2 linked regions of the Caenorhabditis elegans genome follow. The protein of the gene in region 2 interacts with the protein of the main gene of each other region in a pairwise test. Each region holds a gene or a part of one and is shown on either strand. Other genes may lie near its edges.

Region 1 (4,841 bases), on a different chromosome or scaffold from region 2:
ATCAGCTGAATTGCAGTTCTGAAATAGTAAAATACAGATTTTTGAAATAATTTATAGAAGGATTCGGGGGGTTTTTGCTCGTAAAGACTCAAAAATGAGCTCAAATGGACGAATTTCGTAATAGAACTGCTCAAGAAATTTTCAAAATTTTGTATTTTTTATGCCGGTTCAAAATTTCGAAATATTATATAATTACACTGATTTTAGCTAAATGCTCGAACTTCGGCCATTTTTCCGTGTTCCAGCTGTCCGAAATTGACTTTTTTGGAATTGTCATCCTTTTTTTGCATATTTTGGTAGTTTATATCATTTAATTTCGTTTATTAAAGTACATTTAAAGCCTATAAGTAGCCAAAAATCATAAAAAACGGTTACCTATCGTCTTTAAATGTACTTTAACAAACGAAATAATATGAGATAAAGTACCAAAATATTCAATAAAGGACGAGAATTCCAAAAAAGTCAACTTCGAACCGCTGCGACACGGAGAAAAGGCCAAAATTCGAGATTTTAGCTAAAATCAGTGTATTTTTTCGAAATTTTGAACCGCCATAAAAAGTTTTTCAAACATTTTCGAGCAGTTTCAATACGAAGTTCGATTATTTGAGCCCATTTTTGGGGGTATACGTTCAAAATCGTCCGAAATCTTCCTTAAAGGAGGATTCGGGGGAATTTTTGCTCGTAAAAATTAAAAATGCGCCAAAATACACTAATTTTGAAGATATAATTCTCAAAATTTCTGAAAAACGGGCTAATTTCAGTTAAAATCTCCAATTTTATCAATTTTTCCGCGTTAGGACTGCTGCAATGCAGTTTTTATCGAATTTTCATATTTTATTTGATCTCACGTTATTTCGTTATTAAAAGCAAACACCAAAGATAATAAAAAATCGGATACCAAACCAAAAAAAAAATGCAATAAAGACTGTATTTATACTGTTGTAACGCAAAAAAAGGAGCAAAATTGGGGATTTTGCCTAACATCAGGTGTTTTTAATTTCGAAGATTGTCTCGCAACAGCCGGAAATCGATTTAATTCAATTATAATCATATTTTGCCGTTTTTTGAGGAATTTTCAGTCGATAGGCCCCTTATTCAGTGCCTTTGGCCTGAAAATGTATCTCAATCGGAGAAAATACGGATAAATTAAAAAGAAAATTAATTTGCGGTTGTTGTGACACCGATAAGTTGACGAAATTGGAGATTTTAGCTGAAATTAGTGAATTTTTTAAAGCATCTTGATTTTTTTCTCGTTAATTTCGGAATAAAAACCTTCGAACTCCAATATCGAATTGTTCAACGGCGCATAAAACTGAAGAAATGAAGCCTTTTCGTTTAATCATCACTTCGGCTAATCGTTCTCCTAATTCATCGGATTCTGAAGAATCGTCGTCTGTTGACAAAACGATTGCCATCGTGTCGAGCACAATTGTCATGGCTTCGGTGTTCATGCGATCTGTTTCAAGCACGTCAATGAATGCATTCATTCCCATTGTTCCGACGGCTAATCGATATTTCTGAAATTACACGTTTAATTTTAATTGTTTAATTTTAATAGTTCAAATGATTTTTTCTCTCACCTTTGCGACACCTTTCAGCCCTCTCAACGCATCTCGACGGTCTTCTGGTGCCGTACAAGTTTCTGCTCGTTCCACAAGTGTTTCTACATATTCAGCTCCATTATCCTCGTCTTCATCTTGCTGTCCGCCGCCAAAAAAGTTCCGAAACAGCGACATCTGCAAAGCTACACGTGGCAGTGAGCGGAAAATGGGATTGTCGTGTTGTTGAGCGAATATAAATGATAATTAAATGCATTTTTTAATTTAATTTATTTATTTCTAAATATTTTTCTTTATTTTCTGAATTTTAACATAAAATAAATGAAAAAAAACGGGAAAAAAAGAAGAGAAAAGTGGAAAAACCTGTCGTGGAATTGGAGGATGCGTTCTCAATGGAGCGCGCTTGCTGACTCTTTTCGGACTTCGTTTTTTCGCTTGCAGACGTTGACGGAAATTGCTCTGAAAAAAAGATCTGCTCAAAAAGTGAATAAAACAAATATTTCAATTGTTTTAATAACAAAATTTGCATATTCAACTGAATAATAATTATACTGAATTCAAGAATTTCAAAAAAATTGGAGAAAGTTTGGGAAACAGATGGAAATTTTCAATAAAATCGTCGAGAAAACATTTTCTGTCAAAATCCGGATTAAATCCAGAAAGAAGAGTACCAGCTGCCCACGAAAATTTCGGGTTTTCCCCCAAAAGAACAGTCTTGAGTCCTGACACGATCGAAACTTTTCAGCTAAATACCGTACACGTGGCTCAAGCCAGTGGTCACGGTGTTTTATTTTATACTCATACCCAACATTTTGCGATTTTTGCGCCAAAAATACGGTTCCTGGTCTCGACACGACTTTTTTTTTGTTATATTCAAACCAGGGCGCGCCTTTAAAGAGTACTGTAATTTCGAACTTTCGTTGTTGCAGGGTTTTCATCGTTTTTTCATAGTTCTTCGTTAAAAAAGGCTGTTTTTATTTTGTAAAAAACTGAAGTAAAACAATTAAAACACATAAATTTTAAGAAAAACAATGAAAAGTCGAATAAAATGCCGCAGCGACAAAAGTTTAGAATTACAGTACTCTTTAAAGGAGAGCACCCGTTTCCATGCAACGAAAAATTGTCGTTTTGAGACCAAGAACTACCGTATTTTTCGCGCAAAACACATAAAAATTGCAAAATTTCCCGTCTGGCTAATATCTTTAATAAATATAAAGCATAGATTTTTTATAAATTGACAGGCTATTTTCAAATATTAAATTAAAAAAAAACAAAAATCAGCGCTAATATGCTCAATTCAAAATTTTTTAAATTGAAAAACATTGGTTAAAAGTAGAAATAACAATAAATCAATATATTTTGCAACAACTTTACCTGAGGCAAATTGAAAAACGCATTGGAAATTGTCGTGTCACTGGAAAACGATCTAACTGAAAGAGTTGATCCGGTAATTGAAGACGTTGAATAAGCGAACATTTCGATTGAATAAAACTATCGGCTCAGAGAGTGTTAGAGTGCGTAAAAGTGTAATGTAGGAAGAGGGCACATTGAGTGAGTTGATCGGGAGAGAAAAGTGAAGAGAAAACGGATAGAATAACAGAATACTGTTACTTCAAAATGTTTTGATTACGGGTAATGTATACATTTCGATATATATTAGCTTTCAGGCAAATCAACAAATTACTGGAATTGAAATTTCTGGCAAACTTTATTTTATTTTATTTCAATGTGTTTCAATGTTCAAAAAAAGAAAAATTTCCGAATATACTTCAAATATAATTCAAATAAATGCCCAAGTTAGAGTACTCAGATAAATCGAACCACGCAGGCACCGCTCCAAACCACGCAGGTGACTGCCCACCACGCAGTCAACGCGTCAAGACCACGCAGGCAACCAAAAGCACGCAGGTGACGCCTAGGAACCACGCAGGCGACTTGACGGTGGGCAGCTATTGGCAGTGGCTGCAAAACCACGCAGGTGACGCCTACATACCATGCAGGCAGCCAACGTTCAGCCACGCGCGGGATTCCTAGGCCAATGGCTGCGTACTCCTCTTGGACAACTTTTTCTTCTATTTTTTTTTCCTAATTTAATGGAATTTTCCGTTTTTTTTCTTGCAAAAAGCACTTTTATATTAATTTTCAATTTCTTCATGAAACTCAATAATTGTTTTCAGGTAAATATGTCAACCCCGGCCCGAAAAACCCCAAAAGGAGGCCGAAAGCGGCGTGGCAATGGACTGGAGGCGCCGCATTCGATTGGTCGCTTCAACGTAAGATAAACTTTATTTTTAAAAAATATATAGCAACAAAATTTCAGAAAAAACCTTCGGAATCGTTCGTTCGAACTATGGACTGGGATTTCAAAGAGCTTAGGAAAATCGCGGAAAATTCCAAGTCAAAGGTGAACAGAAGTTTGGCAGCTGCACAAATTCTCCAAATCCAGATGTAGTTAAAATAGTTCACTTTTCAGACAATTCCTCCAGAGCTCCTCCACACCTTCAGTGTCCACCCAAATTCGGTGAATCATCAGATTCTTCAAGGAAGACTTCTCAATTGTCCTATCAGTAAGCTATTCTTGTCCAATTTTTTTTTAAACAAAAATTTTCAGGCGTTCTTCACAATATTCTACATGTTGTAGCCGGATTCGAAGGACAGTTCCCGAGTGCGGATTTTGGCGATGTTTTCTCCCGACAGGTGGATCAAAAATGGTAAACACCCTTCTATCAATTTGTATTTCCAAAAATCAATAATATTGCAGCTTGAACGCACGGAAAAAGATGAGCCAGGAAAAGGACACACCATCACACTGATCACTGGGACGAAAACAACTGCCTAATGGACTTAATTTTGTTTCCCACCTTTTTTTGTTGTTATTTTTGAGATTTTCGTACTTTGCGTTTTAGATGGTTAAACGGTAGGAAGGGGAAGGAGCGGGCTGCGAACTGCCATTGCTGCAAGACCACGCAGGTGTCGCCTCCAAACCACGCAGGCAACGCGTTGAAACCACGCAGGGACTGGCATTCTTGAGCGTGGTTTGTACGCGTTGCCTGCGTGGTTTGGAGCGGTGCCTGCGTGGTTCGGTTTATCTGAGTAGTAAATTTTAAGGTCTTTCAGCATATACCAATAATATTCCAGTAGGTACAAGAAGCTTCACGTAGTTACAGAAATAGTACATTTTCAGCCCTACCTTTTAGTGCGTATTTTATTATTTAATGAAAACTACCATTTATAGGCAAAAATAGATGAATTTTCCAAACTTTGAAAATTCATAAATCTTTT
Region 2 (7,890 bases):
AATTTTAAATATTTCAGCGGGAAATTCGAATTTTCAAAACAAAAAATTTGGCGCGAACTTCAAATTATTTTTAATATTTTAGCGGGAAATTCAAATTTTAGTTATTTTTCCAAAAATTCAGGCGCGAAATTAGAATTTATTGTGCGATTCTGAAATATGCTGAAACCAAAAACGAAAAAACAAAACTTCAAAATACATTAAGCAAAAAAAAATCAATGGGAAAATGTCATCATAGGTAATACAAAAAAATAATTTTTTGGGAGTTTTCCAGAAAAACGGGCGGCTTTGAACAATGAGAATTTGGAGCAAGAAATTGGTGGAAAAAATCGGCGGTAAAAATCGGAAAAATCAATAATTTATCGTTAAAATCAATAAAAATCAACGTCGACTATGCCGATCCCTGTCCCCCCGATCCCTCCGACGTTCCGAACTTCTCGACCGTTTTCGACGGCGATCCCGTTCCGAAGATCGGCTTCTCGATCGGTGATTATGTCGTGATGAAGATTGCTCTTTTTCACGACTTTTCGATCGTTTTTTGCTCTTTTTACTCGATTTTCTCTCCTTCTCATCGTCTCTCATCTCTCGTTCTCTCTTCTTTTCCGACGACGATTTTTCCGATTTTTTATTATCGCCGTTTTTTGAATCTGAAAATTTGAATATTATTTCCGGAATTTTGTGTGTAGATTGTGTAGTTCTATGTAGTCTAGAGAATGACTACAAACTACAAAATCACATCAGCCTCAATCAAGGTTCAAACTACAAACTACAGACTTTTTGAAAGGAAATTTCTAAATATTTAGCCGAAGACTACAAACTACAAAATCAGCTTAGCCTAACCCAAAATAGTAAAATCCCAATATTTTGACTACAAACTACACGTTTGCGAGTGAAAATTTCAAAAATTCACACTTTTCATTTGTATTCTTTAAAAAATGAGTAAAATATGAAGAAATCTAGGTTGAGGCTGGGAAATATGTGTAGTTTGTAGCCTCAACCAATTCAAAAATTGGTTGAGGCTCACAGACTACAAACTACAAAATTAGAAAAAAAAAATTTTTTGGATTTTTATTTGGATTTTCAGAGATTTTATTGAAAAAAGAAAAGAATTTTTGAAATTTTTTAGATAAAAAGTGAGATTTTCCCGAAAAATCTCTGCTAAAGTGAAGAAAACTTGTAGTTTGTAGTCTCCGGCCTCAACTATTTCAAAAATTGGTTGAGGCTCACAGACTACAAACTACAAAATGAGCAAAGCCTCACCAAATGTTCAGGAATGTTCAGATTTTTTTTTGGATTTAAAAAATAGATTTTTCGAGTTCTAGAAGCGGTTTTAACTGAATTTTCAAAATTTTTCAGATTTTCCGAAAATTTCTGAATTTTTAATCCAAAAAAAGTGGAATTCCAGTGGGTTTTTTGGAATAAAATATTATTTTTTTTGGCTGAAAATTGGCGCTCCGAGACTACAAACTACAAAACCATTCTGTCCCAAAAATCCAAAATCCCAAATGTCCCAAAATCCCAAAAAATTTCAGTTCAAATTTGGCGGAAAAAAGTGAAAATTGTGAAGAAAACTTGTAGTTTGTAGTCTCCAGCGCGCCTCAATTATTTCAAAAATTGGTTGAGGCTGAGACTACAAACTACAAAATAACATAGCCTCACACAAATATTGAAAAAACATTTTTTTTTTGCAGATTTTCCTGAAATTTTTGAATTTTTAATTCAAAAAAGTGGATTTCCAGTAGGTTTTTGAAGTTTTTTGGCTGAAAATTCGCGCTTTAATAGACTACAAACTACAGAAAAACACATTTTTGACGCTAAAATCGGGGAAAAAATTAGCAAAAATGGTATTTTTTTCAACAAAAAGTGAATATATTTTTATATTTTTCATTAGTTTACCTTACCTGGAACGTGTAAATCATCAACACCTTCACCATCATCATTAACTGATGGTTTGACATCATCTGTCTTAACACTAAACTTTCGAGGGATACCCACGGGAGCCTTGAACTCTCCACCACCAGCTTCTGGTGTTCCTGCTTCTGCTGCCCCTGATGCTCCATTTAGCTCCGCCGAGCCACTGCTCTCCTGCCGTGGCTCCATGTCGTCGCCAACTCCATCGTCACTGCTGTTGTCACTATCCTCACCGTCTCCTGGAAAATTTGAAAAATTTGAATTTTTTGAAATAAAATTTCAAAAAATATGACATTTTAGCTCTAAAAAACGTTTTTTTTTTTAACTGAAAACTCAACTTTTTTTTTGCAAAAAAAGGCTTTTTTTATTTGAATTTTAGTTTTACAATTTTCGAGAAATTGAAAATTCACATTTTATGGAATTTTTAATCGAAAAAATTGAAATTTTTAAACTAAAAATTCTTTTTTGGTACATTGTTCGAAAATCGTTTTTTATAACGAATATTTAATTAAAAAAGCTTCTGAAAACCGATTTTTTCCAAAAAAAAAAAATGTTTTTTTGAAAACTTTTTCTGAAAAATTTGAATTTTTAGGAAAAAGAAGAGCTTTTCAGGAACTTTTTGAACACAATTTTTATATAAAATTAAAATTTTCTGGAAATCTAAATTTTCGCTATTTTTTTTTGAAAAATTCGATTTAAAAATCAAAAATTTTACTTTTTTTTTCGGAAAATCTCAAATTTTTCAACCAGAAAATTCGATTTGTTTCAAAATTGTAACTGTTTTAAATTTAAAAAAAATATGGAAAATTCGAAAATTTTAGAAAAAAGTTTTTAAAAAATGTGAAACTTTTGAAGACAATGTTGAAAATTTTCGTTTTTCGAATTTTTTAAATCAATTTTTAAAAAACTTTTTGAAATTTTAGCTCAAAAAACTCGATAAAATCGAATTTTTTTTGTTTAAAAAAATTTCGTCGAAAAATTGGAACAATTTATGAATTTTTTATGAAAAATTATACGATTTTCATAGCTTTTTGGAAGAAAATTTCAAAAATGTTAAAGTTTTCGGTTTTTTTTAAATTAAAAACTTGGAAAAAACTTTTAAAACCGAATTTTCTGGTCAAAAAAATTGTTTTTTCCGAATTTCGAATTTTCGCGAGCTTCTCCATACCAAAAGCCGCGAGAGCCGCCAACGCTGAGCTGTTGCCGATGATTTTCGGCGCAGTTGCCAATTTTTTCCGTTCAAATTGAAGTTTTTCGTGCTCACGGAGCTCTTCTTGTATTATACGCATGATGACGTCATTCGAAGACTCGAGGAGCACGTTCATCATTAGAGTTTTCACACAGCGTATCTGGAAAAAAAATTTCGAAAATTTTTTTTTTGAAATTTTTAAGAGGTTTTTCTCCACTTAATGGACCTTTTTTAATTTTTAATTCAATTTTTTTTTTTCAAAAGTTCTGTAGTTTGTAGTCTAACAGCCTCCAAAAACGCGAGCCTCAACCAATAGATTTTTTGAAATTTTATCAAAAATTCGGTTTTTATTGCATTTTTAAAGGTTTTGACTGAAAAATTCTGAAAATCTTGGGAAGATTTTAAGGTTTGTTTTCGAAATTTTTGTAGTTTGTAGTCTAGCGGGCATCAAAATTATAAAATTTTTGAAACAAAAAAATTTTTTTTACCCGAATTTCAAAACTTTTTAGAAAATTTTTTAAAAAATCTTGAAAAAATTGAATTTTTGAAAATTTAAATTTCTGTGAGGCTGTCTTAAAAATTGTAGTTTGTAGTCTGAGCCTCGACCAATTTTTGAATTGGTTGAGACTACAAACTACAAATTGTCATATAGCCTCAACAATGTTTTTTTTGTAAATTTTATCAAAAACTGGGTTTTTTATTGGAATTTTTATGGTTTACGCTGAAAAATTGAGAAAACCTAGGGAAAATTGTTTTTTTTTTTTAAATTCATGTAGTTTGTAGTCTAGCTGGCATCAAAAACGCCAATGTCTACTAAAATGTCTAAAATTTTAAACTTTTTTGAATTAAAAATGAAAAAAAAAACGATTTTTTTGCCGAAATTCAAAAGTTGTATTGAAAAATTTATTTTTTTTTCAAAATTTAATTTTGGTGAGGCTACCCGAAAATTGTAGTTTGTAGTGTGTGAGTCTCAACCAAAATATTGGTTGAGGCTGAGAGGCTACAAACTACAAATTGTCATAGCCTCAACCAATAGATTTTTTGAAATTTTATCAAAAACTCGGTGTTTTATAGGAATTATTTTTAGGATTTAGGAGTTACACTGGAAAATTCAGAAAATCTTGGGAAAATACAATTTAAAAAAAAAAATTTCTGTAGTTTGTAGTCTAGCCGGCTAAAATTTTCAAATTTTCAACATTTTTTTGAAATAAAAGTAAAAAAAGAAACGATTTTTCCTCGAAATACAAAAATTTCATTGTAAAATTGATTTTTTTGTTCAAAATATAATTTTGGTGAGGCTACCCGAAAATTGTAGTTTGTAGTGTCTGAGCATGAGCCTGAACCAACAAAAATTGATCAAATTTCGTCGGTTTTTTCTCGATTTTTTTAGCAATTTTCTCTAAAAATTCAGAAAATCTTCGACAAATTTTTGGTTTTTTCTCAAAATTTTTTGTAGTTTGTAGTGTGTGAGCCTCAACCAAAAATATTGGTTGAGGCTGAGAGACTATAAACTACAAAGCTGGATTTTTTTTTTCAAAAAATTGGTTTTTTTTCTCAAATTTTGAAAAATTTCCTCTAAAAATTTAGAATATCTTCGTTTTTTCTCAAATTTTTTGTAGTTTTTAGGTTTTTTTTTGCGGAAATTTCAGGAATTTAGAATTTCCCGTACAAATTGCTCTCGTCTCTCCTCCAAATCGTCTTCCGAATCATTATCATCTTCCTGATATTCAGATTTTCCATTACCAACAGGAAATTTCTCATTTTCCGGGCTCTCTTCATCCGACGAAGAGTCAAATTTGCTCTTTCCAGCTTCGGCTCTTCGCCGGGCTTTTTCTTCTTCCGCTTTCTTCAGCTTTTCCTCTTTTTCCCACTGCTTTTGCTTCTCCCGTTCGGCCTTTTCAAGGCCTTCCAGGATCCAGGCCGGCAGTTTTTTCCGGGCCTCTTTGTTCATTGCATACGGGTTTGTGGGCCCTGAAGCCATTAGTGGAGCCGGTGGAGGCACACCTTTCGGGCCAGCTTGGGCCGGGGGTTCCGGGGAATTTTGGTAGTTTTCGGGCTGGAAATCGGGCTGGAAATCGGGCTGCTGAAAATCGTGCTGGACCGAGGGGCTCTCCTGGAAAAAGTGCAGCTGCGGTGGTGGACGTTGAGGTGCTCCGAAGAAGCTTGGAGCACTTGAAGCCGCCGCAAAAAGTGGCTTAGGCTTTTGGGCCGACGGGAATAGGCTTTTCGGTGGTGGTGCCGCTGGAGCCTGAGGTCTTGGAGGCCCTGGGTAGTGCTCTGGAGGTCTATGTGGGCCTGGGGGGCCTGGAAAGTGCGGCCTTGGTGGCCCTGGCGGAAAATGTTGTGGTGGGCCTTGGAAATGATGTCCAGGCGGTCCAAAGTGTCCGTGGTGAGCTGGTGGAGGAGCTCCACGCCACGTGTCTGCTCCCTGTGGCGGTGGTGGTGGATATCCACGAGGCGGGCCTTGATTATGATATACGGGGGGCCCGGACGGCCCAGAAGGCCCAGGCGGCCCTCTCCACTGCTCGTCCCGATTCGCGGACCAATCGCCCCAATCCTGATGAGCCGGAGGGCCCGGATGACGTGGCTGATGCCACGGGAGCTGATGATTTTGAGCGAAATCGTGTGAATTTCCGGCTCGACGATCGTCTGTGTCGCGCATCGCCATCCATTGTTGGGCCAGCTGGGCCCAGTCGACTGGAAAATAGACGAAAATTAATTTTTAAATAAATTTAAAAAAATTTCGCGAAAATCTCGAAAAAAATCGATTTTTTCGTGTTTTTTTGCCAAATTTTTCGATTTTAAATTCAATTTTTCAATAAAATCACAACGCCATACCACTTTCCGCCGGCTGTGCCTGATGATAGTTGGTCCAATCTTCCATTTCCCTCGTTTTGTGATTTTCTGCAGGAAATATCGATCTTATTGGTTTTTTTTGGGAGGAAAAAGGTGGAAACTAGCATTTTTTAACAAAAATTCGAAATTTTCAGCTAGATTTTCTATTTAAAAGCTTTAAAAATGCGCTGAAAATATTCTAAAATAGAATTAAATCGAAAAAATGTCGATGGCCGTTCCTTTACACGAAACCTAGTCCACGGCCACGCGGCCACCGAATTTTATTGACGGCGGCTTTCTGTGTGATTTTCAGATACTTGAACGTGTTTTTTTGTTTGTAATGTGAAGAAAATGAATCGATATATTTAATTTTTGGAGAAAAGTGATTTTAAATTCCAGAATTCCTGCCGAAATCCGACGTTTTCCAATTTCGTGTAGAAACCCATTCGAGGGAACACAGCATGCGCCTTTAATGGCTACGGTAGGTTAATTTAATTTAATTTAATTTAATTTTTAGCAGCAATTTTCAACGATAATAGTTGTTTTTTGAATAATTTAAATTTAAATTTGCTTTTTTTTCAGATGACAGAAAGAAAACAGGATTTTTCCTGTCCAAACTACATGCTTTTCGGCGATGACTTCAATTTACAAAGTGGAATAGAGGTTTTTCCCCGAAAATTTCTGCAAAATCACTTTTTTTTTCCAATTTTTCAGGATATTTCCTGTTCCTCAAACTACACATCAGACGAAGATGGACCAAAAGTGCTCACTACAATGAGAAATATGTTTGCGGAGCAGAAAACCGACGAATATGAGCTGGTCTACGACAATAATTCGCAAAATGTGCCTCAAAATTGTTCACCGAAAAATCAATATTCGCCCCCGCAATCTGTGCAACAAGCTCATTATTCGAATTTATCACATTTTCATCCTAGAAATCCAGAATTTTCACAAGAAATCGTGGAAAATCGAGTAATTTCTCCAAAATCTGAGCATCCGGAAGAAATAGAGGATCACGAAGATGATGAGGATGGCCAAAGTGAAATGGTACTGATAAAAAACCCCGATTCTAACAATTTTTGCCCTGAAAACATGAAAAATCATCAAATTTCAGCCAATAGGACGAAAATTCGTTTGGTTGAGGCTCACAGACTACAAACTACAAACCGCAATCATTTTAAATAGGATTTTATTCAATTTTCGCTTAAAAATTAATTTATACTATTAAAAAACCTAATTTTCAGTTGAAAATCGTATTAAAAAATTCGTTGAGGCTAAAAAAATTGTAGTTTGTAGTCTGTTAGCCTCACCCAAAACATTTTCGACCAAAAAAAAAACGGTTTTCCCCAATTTTTTGTATAAAAATGAGTAAAAACGGCTATTTCATGATATTTATTAACTTTTTACGATAATAACCTTCAATTTTTACGAAAAAAATTGGTTGAGGCTAGAAAAATTGTAGTTTGTAGTCTGTTAGCCTCACCCAAAACATTTTCGACCAAAAAACTGATTTTTCTGCAATTTTTTTATATGAAAATGACTAAAAACTGCAATGTATTAAGCTTATAACTCACTTTTTCAATCCTAAAACACCAAAAACTAACGCAAAACTGGTTGAGGCTAAGAAAATTGTAGTTTGTAGTCCCTGAGCCTCACCCAAAACTATTTTCGGCCGAAAAAACCGATTTTCTCCCGATTTTTCTTATAAAAATGACTAAAAACTACAATTTCATGGATTTCGCCCAACAATTTCGAATTTTCAGAAGCACAATTGCCCGGAATGCCCGAAAAAGTACACATCGGAACGACGTCTCAAGCATCATATCGTTGTACACCGCAATCCGGACGCCTATAAATGTCAAAAATGTGGATATTGCTATCAGAGCCCAGATAGTCTCCGGAGACACTGGAAGGTAGCAAAAAAATCGAATTTTCACTGAAAATTTGACAAAAAATTA

Evidence for each region. The genes of interacting proteins can lie anywhere in the genome.
Region 1: the proteins of rsy-1 (region 2) and uso-1 interact in a two-hybrid assay, tested with the Caenorhabditis elegans proteins (2 studies listed by BioGRID).

The regions. Positions count from the first base shown.
Region 1 is NC_003282.8:13,451,764-13,456,604, forward strand, and holds the start of uso-1 (Uso1_p115_head domain-containing protein), read right to left. Parts: upstream 3,036-4,841; coding exon 2,934-3,035; intron 2,019-2,933; coding exon 1,923-2,018; intron 1,737-1,922; coding exon 1,581-1,736; intron 1,518-1,580; coding exon 1,273-1,517; intron 19-1,272; coding exon 1-18. Other genes in the region: Y38H8A.7 (uncharacterized protein), read left to right, coding at 3,743-3,832, 3,880-3,963, 4,033-4,126, 4,171-4,270, 4,321-4,372.
Region 2 is NC_003279.8:11,215,995-11,223,884, forward strand, and holds rsy-1 (Arginine/serine-rich protein PNISR), read right to left. Parts: upstream 6,002-7,890; 5' UTR 5,982-6,001; coding exon 5,936-5,981; intron 5,795-5,935; coding exon 4,767-5,794; intron 3,258-4,766; coding exon 3,077-3,257; intron 2,148-3,076; coding exon 1,899-2,147; intron 645-1,898; coding exon 379-644; 3' UTR 183-378; downstream 1-182. Other genes in the region: Y53H1A.2 (C2H2-type domain-containing protein), read left to right, coding at 6,405-6,413, 6,515-6,595, 6,647-6,979, 7,696-7,845.